2 linked regions of the Lytechinus pictus genome follow. The protein of the gene in region 1 purifies or fractionates together with the protein of each later gene. This does not show direct contact. Links are inferred from orthologs where the notes say so. Each region holds a gene or a part of one and is shown in the gene's direction. Other genes may lie near its edges.

The links. The genes of interacting proteins can lie anywhere in the genome.
Region 2: the proteins of sodium-coupled neutral amino acid transporter 9 homolog (region 1) and ragulator complex protein LAMTOR5-like purify together in Homo sapiens (co-immunoprecipitation; 5 studies listed by BioGRID and IntAct, with this or other methods). This does not show direct contact. The link is inferred for Lytechinus pictus from reciprocal best matches to the Homo sapiens genes SLC38A9 and LAMTOR5.

What each region holds. Positions count from the first base shown.
Region 1 is NC_087255.1:21,677,604-21,684,869, reverse strand, and holds the start of sodium-coupled neutral amino acid transporter 9 homolog, read left to right. Parts: upstream 1-4,209; 5' UTR 4,210-4,333; coding exon 4,334-4,419; exon of another isoform or gene 4,420-4,463; intron 4,464-6,845; coding exon 6,846-6,929; intron 6,930-7,266. Other genes in the region: cyanocobalamin reductase / alkylcobalamin dealkylase-like, read right to left, coding at 3,936-4,010.
Region 2 is NC_087247.1:51,474,632-51,482,417, reverse strand, and holds the start of ragulator complex protein LAMTOR5-like, read left to right. Parts: upstream 1-4,770; 5' UTR 4,771-4,892; coding exon 4,893-4,927; intron 4,928-7,397; coding exon 7,398-7,459; intron 7,460-7,786. UniProt on the Homo sapiens protein: As part of the Ragulator complex it is involved in amino acid sensing and activation of mTORC1, a signaling complex promoting cell growth in response to growth factors, energy levels, and amino acids.

The sequences.
Region 1 (7,266 bases):
GAAAACACACGTTCGGTAATACGATACCTTTTTCAAGTGACCAAAATATTTCACATGCGAAGAGGGGTCCGATTGGAAGCAAAAATCGTAAAAAGGAAAAACTATTTCGGCAAAAATTTTACATATTTATATTTTGTAGGTAATTGTGTATTTATGGTGAAAGTTTGGTGAATTTTATGAGAATAATGTGCTTGATATGATTGAATTCATGAAAAGTGTTCGGTAATACGATCCACTACCATACTCTAACAAAGTTATCAAAAAAAAAAAAAAGATGAAGAATCAGCATCGGGAAATAATAAGATGGCAAATATAGCGATCTTCAACGCTTATATATAAGCGTCGAAATTTGTAGCCATCTCCTTGTATTAGTCTATAATATACGACGTGTCAAATTGTAGCGAACTAGTTCGCTATTTCCAGATCTCCTCTATATATATATATATATATACGAGGGGGAATTGTAGCGAACTAGTTCGCTATTTTCCAGATCTCCTCTATATACAAACGACGGGAAATTGTAGCGAACTAGTTCGCTATTTTTCGGATCTCCTCGATATATACACGAGGGGAATTGTAGCGAACTAGTTCGCTATTTTCCAGATCTCCTCTATATACATACTACGGGATTTGTAGCGAACTAGTTCGCTATTTTTCGGATCTCCTCGATATGTACACGAGGGGGAATTGTAGCGAACTAGTTCGCTATTTTTTTATTTTTCCAGATCCCCTCTATATACATACGACGGGATTTGTAGCGAACTATATATGAGGGGGCATTGTAGCGAACTAGTTCGCTATTTTTTTGGATCTCCTCTATATATACACCAGGGGGGAATTGTAGCAAACTACATGTAGTTCGCTATTTTTCGGATCTCCTCCACATGTATACGACAGGAAATTGTTGCAAACTTGTTCGCCATTTCTCATCTCCTCTCTAAAATATAAACATGGCAAACTGTAGCGAACTAGATGGCAATTTTTCTGATCTCTTCATATACACGAGGGGGAAATTGTAGCGAACTAGTTGTCATTTTTTCCAAAGCTTACATTATTGTGAAGGCTTCAAAGTGAAAATCTGCAGGTTTTGGCTGTATATATTGATGCCATATTGTCAAATTGTAGCAGACTAGTTCGCTATTTTCCAGATCTCCTCTATATCCATACGACGGGCTTTGTAGCGAACTAGTTCGCTACTTTTCGGATCTCCTCTATAAAATTATATACACGAGGGGGAATTGTAGCGAACTAGTTCGCTACAATTCCGTCTCTTGTATATATAAAGATTAGAAAAATAGCGAACTAGTTCACTACAATTCCTCCTCGTGTATAAAATTTTATAAAGAAGATCCGAAAAATAGCGAACTAGTTCGCTACAATTTTCCGTCGTATATATATATAGAGGAGATCTGGAAAATAGCGAACTAGTTCGCTACAATTCCCCCTCGTGTATATATAGAGGAAATCCGAAAAATAGCGAACTAGTTCGCTACAAATCCCGTAGTATGTATCTAGAGGAGATCTGGAAAATAGCGAACTAGTTCGCTACAATTTCCCGTCGTATATATATATAGAGGAGATCTGGAAAATAGCGAACTAGTTCGCTACAATTTCCCGTCGTATATATATATAGAGGAGATCTGGAAAATAGCGAACTAGTTCGCTACAATTCCCCCTCGTGTATATATCGAGGAGATCCGAAAAATAGCGAACTAGTTCGCTACAATTTCCCGTCGTTTGTATATAGAGGAGATCTAGAAAATAGCGAACTAGTTCGCTACAATTCCCCCTCGTATATATATATAGAGGATATCTGGAAATAGCGAACTAGTTCGCTACAATTTCCCGTCGTATATATATATAGAGGAAATTTGAAAAATAGCGAACAAATCCCGTAGTATGTATCTAGAGGAGATCTGGAAAATAGCGAACTAGTTCGCTACAATTCCCCCTCGTGTATATATCGAGGAGATCCGAAAAATAGCGAACTAGTTCGCTACAATTTTCCGTCGTATATAGAGGAGATCCGAAAAATAGCGAACTAGTTCGCTACAAAAGAAGAGATCCGAAAAATAGCGAACTAGTTCGCTACAATTTCCCGTCGTATATATATATAGAGGAGATCTGGAAAATAGCGAACTAGTTCGCTACAATTTCCCGTCGTATATATATATAGAGGAGATCTGGAAAATAGCGAACTAGTTCGCTACAATTCCTCCTCGTGTATATATCGAGGAGATCCGAAAAAAAGCGAACTAGTTCGCTACAATTTCCCGTCGTTTGTATATAGAGGAGATCTAGAAAATAGCGAACTAGTTCGCTACAATTCCCCCTCGTATATATATATAGAGGATATCTGGAAATAGCGAACTAGTTCACTACAATTTCCCGTCGTATATATATATAGAGGAAATTTGAAAAATAGCGAACAAATCCCGTAGTATGTATCTAGAGGAGATCTGGAAAATAGCGAACTAGTTCGCTACAATTCCCCCTCGTGTATATATCGAGGAGATCCGAAAAATAGCGAACTAGTTCGCTACAATTTTCCGTCGTATATAGAGGAGATCCGAAAAATAGCGAACTAGTTCGCTACAAAAGAAGAGATCCGAAAAATAGCGAACTTGTTCGCTACAATTTCCCGTCGTATATATATATAGAGGAGATCTGGAAAATAGCGAACTAGTTCGCTACAATTTCCCGTCGTATATATATATATAGAGGAAATCCGAAAAATAGCGAACTAGTTCGCTACAAATCCCGTAGTATGTATCTAGAGGAGATCTGGAAAATAGCGAACTAGTTCGCTACAATTCCCCCTCGTGTATATATATCGAGGAGATCCGAAAAATAGCGAACTAGTTCGCTACAATTTCTCGTCGTTTGTATATAGAGGAGATCTAGAAAATAGCGAACTAGTTCGCTACAATTCCCCCTCGTATATATATATAGAGGAGATCTGGAAATAGCGAACTAGTTCGCTACAATTTGACACGTCGTATATTATAGACTAATACAAGGAGATGGCTACAAATTTCGACGCTTATATATAAGCGTTGAAGATCGCTATATTTGCCATCTATAAAATACCGATCAGCATCCAGCCCATCTATATTATAAGGGTACATGTAACTAATTAATGTTGGACAGGCTGATTGTCCATTTTCTTATTTTGTAATATAAAAAATTGATTAAAGTATAGATCTCTGTCCTACACATCATATAACATAAGTCACCATTGTTCAATCCTCAATAAATACAAGAAAAATTGCAAATTTTTCTTATCTAAAAAAAAATTGATTAAAAATGTTTCTCCTAAAATTAGAAATTAAAATCAAATCACAGATAGATTTGTCTTCAGTTAGCTGTTATCAACAATCTCCGACCTTAACAGAGGAAGGACACAAAAGAAAGAGAGATTGGTCCTTTTTCATCTTTTTTCATGCGCATGCAAGAATTACAATACTTAAGTTTAGTCTTAGACTTGAGCCAAAGCCCACACAAACACTTTTTTCCAAACAAAAGTAAGTAGTGGTCTTGGGATGTATAGACTATAGTTTTTGAGTTTCAGTTCAGTTTATCAACGATTAACGAATCAACGATCCTTCCCAAACCCCAATATTTTATAATGGGGTGTACAAGGATAAAATTACACAACAGTCAGACAGTAATATACACGAATCAGATACAATTTGAGCAGCAGAGTGAATTATCCAAAGACCGGCCAAAGACCAAACAGCAACCGATGCACATGTCATCGGTCCCCGGCATCGGTCTAGGCCTAACTAAAATTAAAAAGTTTACTAACTTCTTAATCTTAGTTTAGCAAGCTTCAGACATTATTCCAATACCATGAATACAATACAATTACTTAGGTCTTACTCTTAGTCGATACTTTTGTGTCGAATTCCGAGGAATATTTAAGCCTAAGTTACCTTGAAAGGGTGAATCTCAAAACCATTTGGTTCCAGAACATTTCGGAGTTTTTCGGAAATAAAGTCCGCTGACATGACTGTATGCGAGCGAGGACCATAGTAGGCATAAAGTCATAGAGATATCTATATGGGGTGCAGGACCTCGTACGGTATCTCTATGGTGAGGACTGACCATAGAGATATATCTCTATAGAGTATAGCTATGCCTATGGGACTGACTGTATGAACACGTCATGTGACAGGTCATGTGATAAAAGCAAGTCGGGTGATGCGACTATTGCGAGAGCCGTCAAACCAAAGTCAAGACGAAGTCCGAGTCAAGGGAGAAATGTTTGATAAATAAATCGGAATATTGCCGTGTCTTATTGATTCTGGTTGTATTTTCAAAAGAAGAAAGGATGTCTTTTCGATCAGGTACTCCGAGGGATAATGAAACCGGCGAGAAGGCACCACTTTTAAATGGAACAGAGGGTAGAAAAGGAAGGTGAGTCAAGATCTCGCGATCTCGTCAGAGAACCCAATTTAGATAGAGTAGAATTCCAGCCTAACGCGTACGGTACGTACGGGATCGGGAGCGCGAGCGGCGCCCGACCGACCAGACGCCCAGTCAAGTATGGCAATGCTGGCCTTGTTAGGCAGGCAATAGACTCCAACTCAAAGCAAGCGACGATGCAAGAAAGCAAACGTTATAGGCTACATGTAATGAAAAGAAGAGAAGGGTGAAAACACTGAAAATGTGAAATAGTTTATCTATATTCAGACACTGAGACAGTAGCCAAGTAGGCTATGACTTGTATGGCAGTGAGTCCAAACTTCGCGCGTGTCCATACTTCGCGGACGGTCATTATCTAAAAAACTAGCCAATATCCTTAAAATCTGACATCATCAACGTGAAAAGCGACCTAAAATTACCCTTTGGTGTAAGTTTCTTTAGGATGAGTTCAGTATTCATGAAAATATTGGCAAAAGATCGGCAAATTTGTCACGTTTAGCGCCCGTTTTGAAGAAATCTGATATTCTCAACAAGCATCACGATATCACTATTTTGCAAGCAGAAATCATCAAAAATTTGAGTTAAAATGTGGTACTAACCGATTCTATAGCATTTTGCCATCAATCTGATATAAATATTTCACTTTTTGAGCTTGAGTTTTTGCTTAAATGTCCACAAAAACTTTGGTCCGCGAAGTTAGGTCACACTTTTTCTGAACGGTTATCCAGCACAGCGCGCATTCGCCGATCGGAATAGAATTTTGAGATCGCGATACCGGCGAATCCCCTTGACCTACTTTACGTTTTCGTCCATGATTTTATAGTTTACGATCTTGCCGTCAATGTGGTAACTATTTTTTAAATTGGTTTTGTATAAATTATGAATATTTTGTGAAAAAATTTAAGCCTGATGAATATTTTTGAAAAGTGAGCGAAGTTTGGACACCCCATCATACCGTACCGGTATATCTCGCCAAAGCTTTTGCTTTGGCGAAAAACAAAGAAAGATGGCGACATAAACATCGCGGCAATTTTTCCCTGTCTCTTTCATATTTTTCTCTTTTTTTTAAATGAATTCTTGTTTAAAAATTAAATCAATATTGTAGAAATGTATGAAACAAAGACGAAGTAGCCATTTACATACATGATTTATCTTTTGGAAGGAAAGTAGAAATCTCGGAGGCAAAATTTTCATTTTTTTTGCGGTACACGCACTTGAATGGGACGCAATTCCTGGCTCCGTGAGAGAAAGCATACATTAGTGAGTGATTTTTACTCTCTCGGAGCCTCCTGGCTAGTAGGCTAGAGGTGCTGGTCCAAAAATTGTGATTGTCCCAGAAAACATATCCTCATAAACCAGGACAAATCATGTCTTGAGAAACTGGAATGTCCTTGTTTATGGGGCCCCATAAACAAGGACAATCTCAGTTTCTCAAGACATGATTTATGGGGACGTTTTTTTTTTCACTTACCCCTGCGGGACATAGACGGCAATTACCGGGATTGAGAGTGCTAAAAATGGATTCAATGACCTCAATTCCCTCCAGTTCACCATCTTTTTTTCACGACTTGCCAATCTTGTTATGAAACCTAACAATAGTATGTTTACATTGACTAACGCACTTAGTTGATGTCAGCACTTGACAGGTAAATGAACTTTCATAGATTTCTTGTGTGGAGAAATCTTTGAAAACTGGGACAATCCCACTTTTTTGACCAGCGCCTCTACTGTTATTTTCTGTCTGAAAAAACTGAAATGTCAAAATGTACCACAAGGCACAAAAACTTAAGAGCAAAAATGCAAAATTTAAATGACAAAGTCTAATCTAATCGGATAATCCAAGACCTAAACGTAATTAGCTTCATGCAAAGGATCATGGGATCGAAAAGGGGGCAAATAGCGTCGTACATGTACGTACACGTACATGTATTGTTCGGATGCGACCATGCAAACGCTAGCCTACCAGCCGACGATATCGTGTACAATATAGTTCACATAGTTCTAGACGTTTTTAAAATATGATCGTTGCATGCCATGATTTTTTTCCTTTCATCAAAGATTAAAGAACAAATACATTAAGCTTTCAGTGATTTTCTCTTGTAATTCAGATGCTACCCACCAAGTGACTTCTTTGGGAATCCTTTCTTCATATTGTTTTTACTCACTCGTGCATGAATTAGGAATCTAAACTTTATACCAGGTGAAAAAAAAAATTCTAACTTTTTTTGAATTTGTCTAAATTTTATTTGTGATTAAGTTATGATAAATCATTGATGGTTTTCAGTTTTGTTTGTTTTGGATGCCCTTTATAATTATGACCTGCCCTTTCACTTCAGTTCTGTAAAGCTCTACATCTGCTTTTATTTGTTAATGAATTATTTTGCTGATATTTTTATATGTCGATTTGTTCTTTCTAGTGTGAGTTTACTACGAGAGAGTCCCATCTCTGGGAGTAGTAATCTCAGTGGAGCTAGTTTGACTGGGACAGAGAAGAAAAGAAGGTGAGTCCAAACACCAAAAGGGTGTGTAAATGTGAATTTAGGGGTAGAAAATTATGTTCAACTAAAATTGTCAATCAAGCATCAATCAAAGGGGATTAAAAAAGAAACTGGAGTAGATGCAAATAAACTGAACTGAAGTGGGCTACTTTGCCCATCTCATTCTTCAACTCATCAAAACCAACAAACCAATAAATGAATGGATTTTTCCTATAATTATATTTATTGAAATCTAAAGAGTGTTTTTATTCATATTTTTAAAGTACCTGTATATTTATTTTTATTTAAAGGACAAGTCTACCCCGACAAAAAATTGATTTGAATAAAAAGAGATAAATCA
Region 2 (7,786 bases), on another chromosome or scaffold:
TACAATATTTCAATTTTTACAGATTTGACAATAAGGACCAGCTTGACTGAACCATATAATGTTAAACAATGGTGATTCCACATGTTCAGTGAGAAATAAAACTTTGTTTTACAGGACAATGGGGAGAAAATTAGAATATTTCATATTTATTAAAATAAAATACAAAAGAAAAAGTGAGTGAGTGATGTCATCATTTCCCTCTTTTGCATTCCGACCGGGATGAGCATATAACTATTGTGTGAAATAAAGCAAAAGTGAAAAATTTCATAACTTTCTTATTTTGCATCCGATTTTGATGAAATTTTGAGTGTTATGCTCGTTTGGTTTTTCTCTTTTTATTAAAATCAACTTTGTTTCGGACTTGACCTTAAACGAAATTAGTGAATCCCATTATTCAGCAATACATTTTCTGAAAACACAAGTCATGACTAACAAACTGCCTGCATGCCGTCATGAATTTCTAATAGGTGGGCTGTATAAGTTTTAGCAGTGATGATCTTATACATCAGAACAGTAGTCAATCCTATCAGCATGATCCATTACTTCTTGCCGATAACTACAGTACTTGTATAACTAAACATGATTATTCTAGAATATGAATTTATTCCTAAACCCGACTTTAACATTGACTTGTATTTCAAATACTTGTGTATTGTACATTTTTGAGTGAACCATGTATACCTGAGTTGGAATTATTTCCTCATGTTGACATGTTTTCATCATATTTTGTTTTGTTCTGTGTATATACATGTGTGTATAAACCAGTGAAAAAAGAATTTCCTTTATGGACAATAAAGTTATTCTATTCAGTTCAGTTCAATTATATTTTTACATTCTTATCGATGGTGAATAAACATTATTTCACATAATAAAGTACAAAAGAATAAGTGTGTGTGTAGGGGGGGGGGGTGAAATCCATCAGCTCGATTAGTACATAATTATTCATGATGACATGTATAATGCTAAACATTAAAATGGCTTAACATTATTGCTCCATGTCAAATTTAAAGAAAATTTAGTGTGGAGTTTGGTTTTCTGGCTAGAATATATACCCCTTTAATGAATTAGATTGTAATTACTTATTTTTTTTGTAGTGTTCTGTTTTGTCGTAGAGAATATATACCGAAGGATAGAAAATCATTATGATGTATTATATAATTATTAAAGATATCATAACTAAATTTATCCTAACTAATATCATATCAATCATATGAAATAATTATAAGTCCAAAACACCATCGATAGTCTCATCTGATGTCACAATTTACGGCGTATTGCGTCACTCATTATAGGGAGTTATGGCAATCGCTATGCAGAACAGTATCTGGAACGGGGAGAATCTATTGTCAAATGCCCTTCATTACAATGAAGTCTTTATCGAAAGTCGGTGAATTGAAACAACAGTTTCGTCCGTGACATCGACATCGGACAAAATGACATATTTGCCTTTTTGTCAGCTCCAAAACGTCGGACCATACTACTGTTCCGATTCACCAATTTTCAAAACAAACTATATTACCAGTAAGGTGATAATTGTGTTGAATTATTGAAAAATAAATATCTTGCCACAGTATATACTGCATTCGTTGTAATTTATATTGTGTGTGAAGAGTCTTATTGTATATTTCTACAATGTACTTTGGTTCAGTCTGTACAGTGATAACTGCTGTTGCTACTAATTTCTTCCCAAATCTTCAAGTTTTTAGTTTATTTCACCAATCATAAAAAATACAAAGAAAATAATTCTGCAAATACAATACAAGCAATCAGTGGAAGATTTTTTTATTCCTATAGGAAATAATTGTATTTGTGAATGAGGGCCCAACATGACCGTATAACACATTAAAAGTAAAATGAATCATTTATTAGATAGTATAAGAAAACAAGGGGGAGTTGACTTGGCTGGTCGTCATTACATACACACGCTACCCCCTGCATCTTACACATCTAAAAATTGGGGGGAAAACAACTGAGAGAAAGAAGATGTTAAAAAAAGATACTGTTAGAAAGGAGGGAAGGCGAGAAAGTGAGTGAAATGGGGAAAGATAGATAGAAAGAGAGAAGAGAGGGAGCGGAAGGGGGGGGGGGGGGGCGGGGAGATAGACTCGGATCGGAGAGAACAGAAAATTTAACAATTTCATGCATGTTTATTATTGGATTGAAGCTCGTTGCTCAGTGAATGTCACTTCGACATCATGACTTGTATATCGTCAGGTGTTTTCCTTAAAGGGGTACTTCGGGCTGAAAATGATAGAGTAAAATTCATCAAGCAAACAAGTTCTGAAAATTTCATCAAAATCTGATTACAAATAATAAAATTATAGAATTTCAAAATTTAGCAATATTTTGTAAAAGAGTTATATGCACATTCATTAGGTGTCATAGCCACACTTCATTTTTGTCTCACCTGCATAGCAGAGTGAGACTATAGGCGCCGCTTTTCCGACGGCGGCGGCGGCGGCGTCAACACCAAATCTTAACCTGAGGTTAAGTTTTTGAAATGACAGCATAACTTAGAAAGTATATGGACCTAGTTCATGAAACTTGGCCATAAGGTTAATCAAGTATTACTAAACATCCTGCCTGAGTTTCATGTCACATGACCAAGGTCAAAGGTCATTTAGGGTCAATGAACTTAGACCATGTTGGGGGAATCAACATCAAAATCTTAACCTAAGGTTAAGTTTTTGAAATGTCATCATAACTTAGAAAATATATGGACCTAGTTCATGAAACTTATACATAAGGTTAATCAAGTATCACTGAACATCCTGCATGAGTTTCACATCACATGACCAAGGTCAAAGGTCATTTAGGGTCAATGAACTTTGGCCGAATTGGGGGTATCTGTTGAATTACCATCATAACTTTGAAAGTTTATGGATCTGATTCATGAAACTTGGACATACTAGTAATCAAGTATTACTGAACATCCTGTGCAAGTTTCAGGTCACATGATCAAGGTCAAAGGTCATTTAGGGTCAATGAACTTTGGCCAAATTGGGGTATTTGTTGAATTACAGCCATAAATTTGAAAGTGTGTTGGTCTAGTTCATAGAACTTGGACATAATAGTAATCAAGTATCACTGAACATCCTGTGCGAGTTTCAGGTCACATGATCAAGGTCAAAGGTCATGTAAGGTCAAAGAACTTTGGCCACGTTGGGGGTACTTGTTGAATTGCCATCATATCTCTATAAGTGTATTGGTCTAGTTCATAAAACGTGGAAATAAGAGTAACCAAGTATCACTGAACATCTTGTGCGAGTTATAGTAGTTTTCAAAATCAGCACTGCTGCTATATTGAATCGCGTGATGCAGGTGAGACGGCCAGAGGCATTCCACTTGTCTTATGTTATTATTACATGAAATCATAATAACTTCATATTTTCATGCATGTGTGTATGATTATGTTCACCACATAATAAAGTCAGTTGCAGCAATGAGTATTTAATGCGTTAAACCAGTTTTTAATCCAATTTTTTTAGTTCTTGTGGTACAAAATATGAATGAACACATTTTCATGTAATAAAATACAAAGAACAGATGGGGATATCACATCATCGGTTTCCTCATTGTATATTAAAGGTCAAGTCCACCCTAGGAAAATGCTGTCTTGAATAAATAGAGAAAATCTAACTAGCATAGTGCTGAAAATTTCATCAAAATCGGATGTAAAACAAGAAAGTTATGACATTTCAAAGTTTCGCTTATTTTTCACAAAACAGTGATATGCACAACTTGGTGAGTCAGTCGATGATGTCCTTCACTCACTTTTTCTTTTGTTCTTTATTGTTTGAATTATACAATATTTCATTTTTTATAGATTTGACCATAAGGACCAACTTGAATGAACCATATAGTATTGAACAATATGCTAATTCCACATGTTCAGGGAGGAATTAATAGTTGTATCACTTGACAATGAGGAACAAATTAGAATATTTCATATAATAAAATACAAAAGAAATAGTTAGTGGATGACATCATAGTCTCCTCATTTGCATACCAGCCAGGATGTGCATATAACTGTTTTGTGAAATTAAGCGAAACTTTAAAATGTCATAACTTTCTTATTTTACATCCGATTTTGATGAAATTTTCAGTGTTATGCTTGTTGGAGTTTTCTCTTTTTATTCAAATCAACTCTTTGTTGGGGTGGACTTGTCCTTTAATGAAGACATGCGCTTTAGGACTAGCTGTGATATAATGCAAATCTGTAATAACTTCGTTATTCCTTGTCCGATTTTGATCATATTTTCAGTGCTGTGTTTGTCTGATTTTTCTTTATCTGTTCATATCATTATTTTCACCCCGGAATACCACTTTCTTTGTCAGTTTTCTTGTGTGTGGCCAAAAAGGATGACAAACTTAGGTGTTTTTTTTTGTGAATTTTTTCTCAACGCCCCTTCGATGCGCTAGAGCAAGATAGAGTTGATAGGCTACCCGATTCTTCTTCTTCTTCATTTTTTTTTTTTTTTTTTTGGGGGGGGGGGCAAATTAATAGAAACACCTTTAAAAAATATGGATTCGAGCATCGAGGCTGGTGCTCCGTTCGGCGCAGGAGCTGGCCCCGGCCGCCCCCCCCCCCCCCCCTTCATCGAAACGTATTATGGTGCTCTGTTCTCTGTTGTTGTTTTTTTAGACTACCTGATAAAAATGAAAATTATATGGCTATAAATCCTCGGTACCAGGTACAGAAAATACAGATAGACTTCTGTAGATACCATCTTTTTTTTTTAATTTAAGTGCAAATTTTGGTCTGTACCCGCAGACTACGAATATAGGGACAGCTGCACGGTCGATCACATGATATTCCGCGGTCACATGACAAAGTAGAACATGTATCAATAAATCGTGATCCGTCTGAAATTGAAAACTCTCTTTAAAAAATGGAACAAAATCTCGACAAACTTTTAGACGACACGTGAGTATTTAACTTGATTTAATACTGTATAGTATTACTATATAGTAATTTTTCTTAAATTGTGAGGGAGACTCAATTTTTCGAGGTCGTATGCGGGGATATTTACATGGAAATTATAGTTTATACCAGTCCCGTGCGTTCAATTTCATGTAAAGCAGTAAGCTTCTATGTTCTAGTTTTTGTTCACTCACGCGTATTGCGAGGTTAGTATTAGTATACTAGCCTCGCACCACGAACCGCGTTTGGCAGTGGATTTCTAACTAGTGGGTCGCGCGTGCTGGGATCTCACTTCTTGGGTCCACAACACACGACTTCTATGGCTTGATTTTTCTGTGCGCGGCGGCATGTAATGAACCCTTGGGTGGTTTTTGTTCGAAATTATGTTTTTGTTTTGCTGACGGCAGAAATCAAGGGAGTTAAGGTCCTTGTTTGTTCATGTGATTACGAGTCCAAGAATTATAGGCTTATAGCTCCATGATAAAAGTACTAGCCACTCACTCATGCTATTATTTATTAACGTAGTAAAAATCCTCAGACTCAATTTCATTCAGTTGATATTTGGTTAACAAGAACAACGATTTGGTTAGCTCATGTAGCTTCATAATTACGGAAAACATAGACCCCTATCAGACAAAGAGATATTAAAAAATGAACAGGTATGACTTCATTTTGGACATTTACAAATCTTAAGCCTGTGAACACTCATTTAATGAACCAATTCAATGAACAAGGTTATGATATAACCTGTGAATAAAGAAATCATAGGCCCAATTAGATCTATAAAATATCTGGATGTGGAAAAAAATGAAGTTTTCAGAACTTTGCTTAGCAAATTCTGAAAGATACTTACTCCTAAGCAGTGCTTAGGAGCAAGTACATGTATCTTTCGGGCAAGTTGGGTTTAGATGTATGTAACTCACACTAAATGCGAGGTTAGTGTGCATTTCATTAATATTGTACAAACATTTTCTTTTGCTCATATCTGAACCTGTATTGTTTTTTCCTTTTTTAAAAATATTCCTTAAATTTTAAACCCATCAGTTTCAGTTTGCAGATTAATTATTTCTCCAGATTTACACTGCATCCCACAAAAAAGGAAAATGGGTTCCCCACATCATTTTTCTTCAAGGGCAAATTAATTATGTTCCATTTATGTCATCATACAATCAATCATTCCTCTACATTTTTATACCTAATATGTGACAAACACTTTGCGCATTAATAAGCAAGATGAGTTTGAAATTTTAATGTAAAAATCAGGTTGTGCAGAAAAATTGGACAAGATTGGTTCGTGTACGACAACCATGCTTATTCGATAATTGACTCGTTAGCATTTCTTTCGGATTCTTTGTGAAGTTTCTTTCACTGATCCCTGAAGAGTCTATTCGGATTTTTACGTGAGTTTCTGCGCAAATTGTTTCTTAAAGACCTTAATATTGTTTTTTACCCACCATGCGTGATTTGCTATGCTGTTGGTCTCAAATTAAAGATGAGATTCCACTCCTACCATAAGTATCAAATTTATAGTTAAAACATATTTAATAATTGTGAAATTTATATCTGGAAATGGGTTTCCTCTACTGTTGGACGCAGTTGCACTGTGAGTGCGTATATATATATATCTTTCTACATCTGCATTTAAGGCAAATTATTTGTCTTCTTTCAATGTTCGCAATGCGCCTTAACGCCCTCTACCTTTGACTTAAAGTCTAAATGTGTATTATAACGGAATAAACCCATTCATAGACTTCGCCCTTACACAGTTGAGGCCAAAAGTTTACATACACCCATGGAATTCATTGAAATTCGTTCACTTGCCAAAAATCGTAAAATTTACTATATATTCAGAAATATAAATACTACCATGACAAATTTGGTATCAAATAAAAGATAAAAGAGTGTGTTAAGCTCTTTCACATGATTGGGATGCAGTTGGAATTAAAGTGTATTTCAGGTGGAATTTTCTTTGAAGAAAAAAAGTAATATTCGTGCCAAATGTGTTCTATTGTTTGATATTATATTTTCAAACATTGTTTCATAAAAATATATAAATGTCAAATCTATGATTTATATTACATTTTCTGTCATGATGTGTCACCACTGAACAAAAAAGTGTAATCTGAAATGTTTGTGTTGAGAAGAAACTAGCACAGGTATGAAATGTTTTTGTCAAGTTTTCATTCTAATTTATCTAATTTATGAAGATTCTTTGGGAAAAAAATTACACCTAAATATTCATCAGCTCCTGATGACAAAGCAATGTGATGAAGGGGCATTAAATACTCATTTGTTTTATATCAAATTTATCATGATAGCACAAATATTTTATAAGATACAGTAAGTTTTTGAGTTACTTCAGTGAAATTGTTGTTGCCTCATAGTTGTTTATTGATGTCAGGGAACTATTAGATTTTGGCAACCAGCATAAATTTCAATATATTTGTCATGTCTATTTTCCTATTTTTCTTAGAATGGATGCCCCTGGAGTTATGGGAGTTCTTTGTGCTGACAAACAGGGACTTTGTTACAGTGGTAAGTATGGTCCAACATTAAACTTTGTGGGAGACAATTATGATGTGATACACGGAGAGTTCAACAGGGGGGGGGGGGGGTGAGAATGAAATTATATAAAATTATATTTTTATCCTCTATGGATGAGGAAAAAATGGATTGACAACTGATTTATTGTATCAGAAAATCCTTGCTGCTACATATTTTTTACAAGGTAGTACACACATGTATGAAAATATGAAGTATGGTTTAATTTCATGTAATGATGTAAGAGAAGGGAATGTTGGGACATGACATCATCAGCTCGCCTGTTGCATATTCATGACAGCATGTAGATAACTGTTTTCA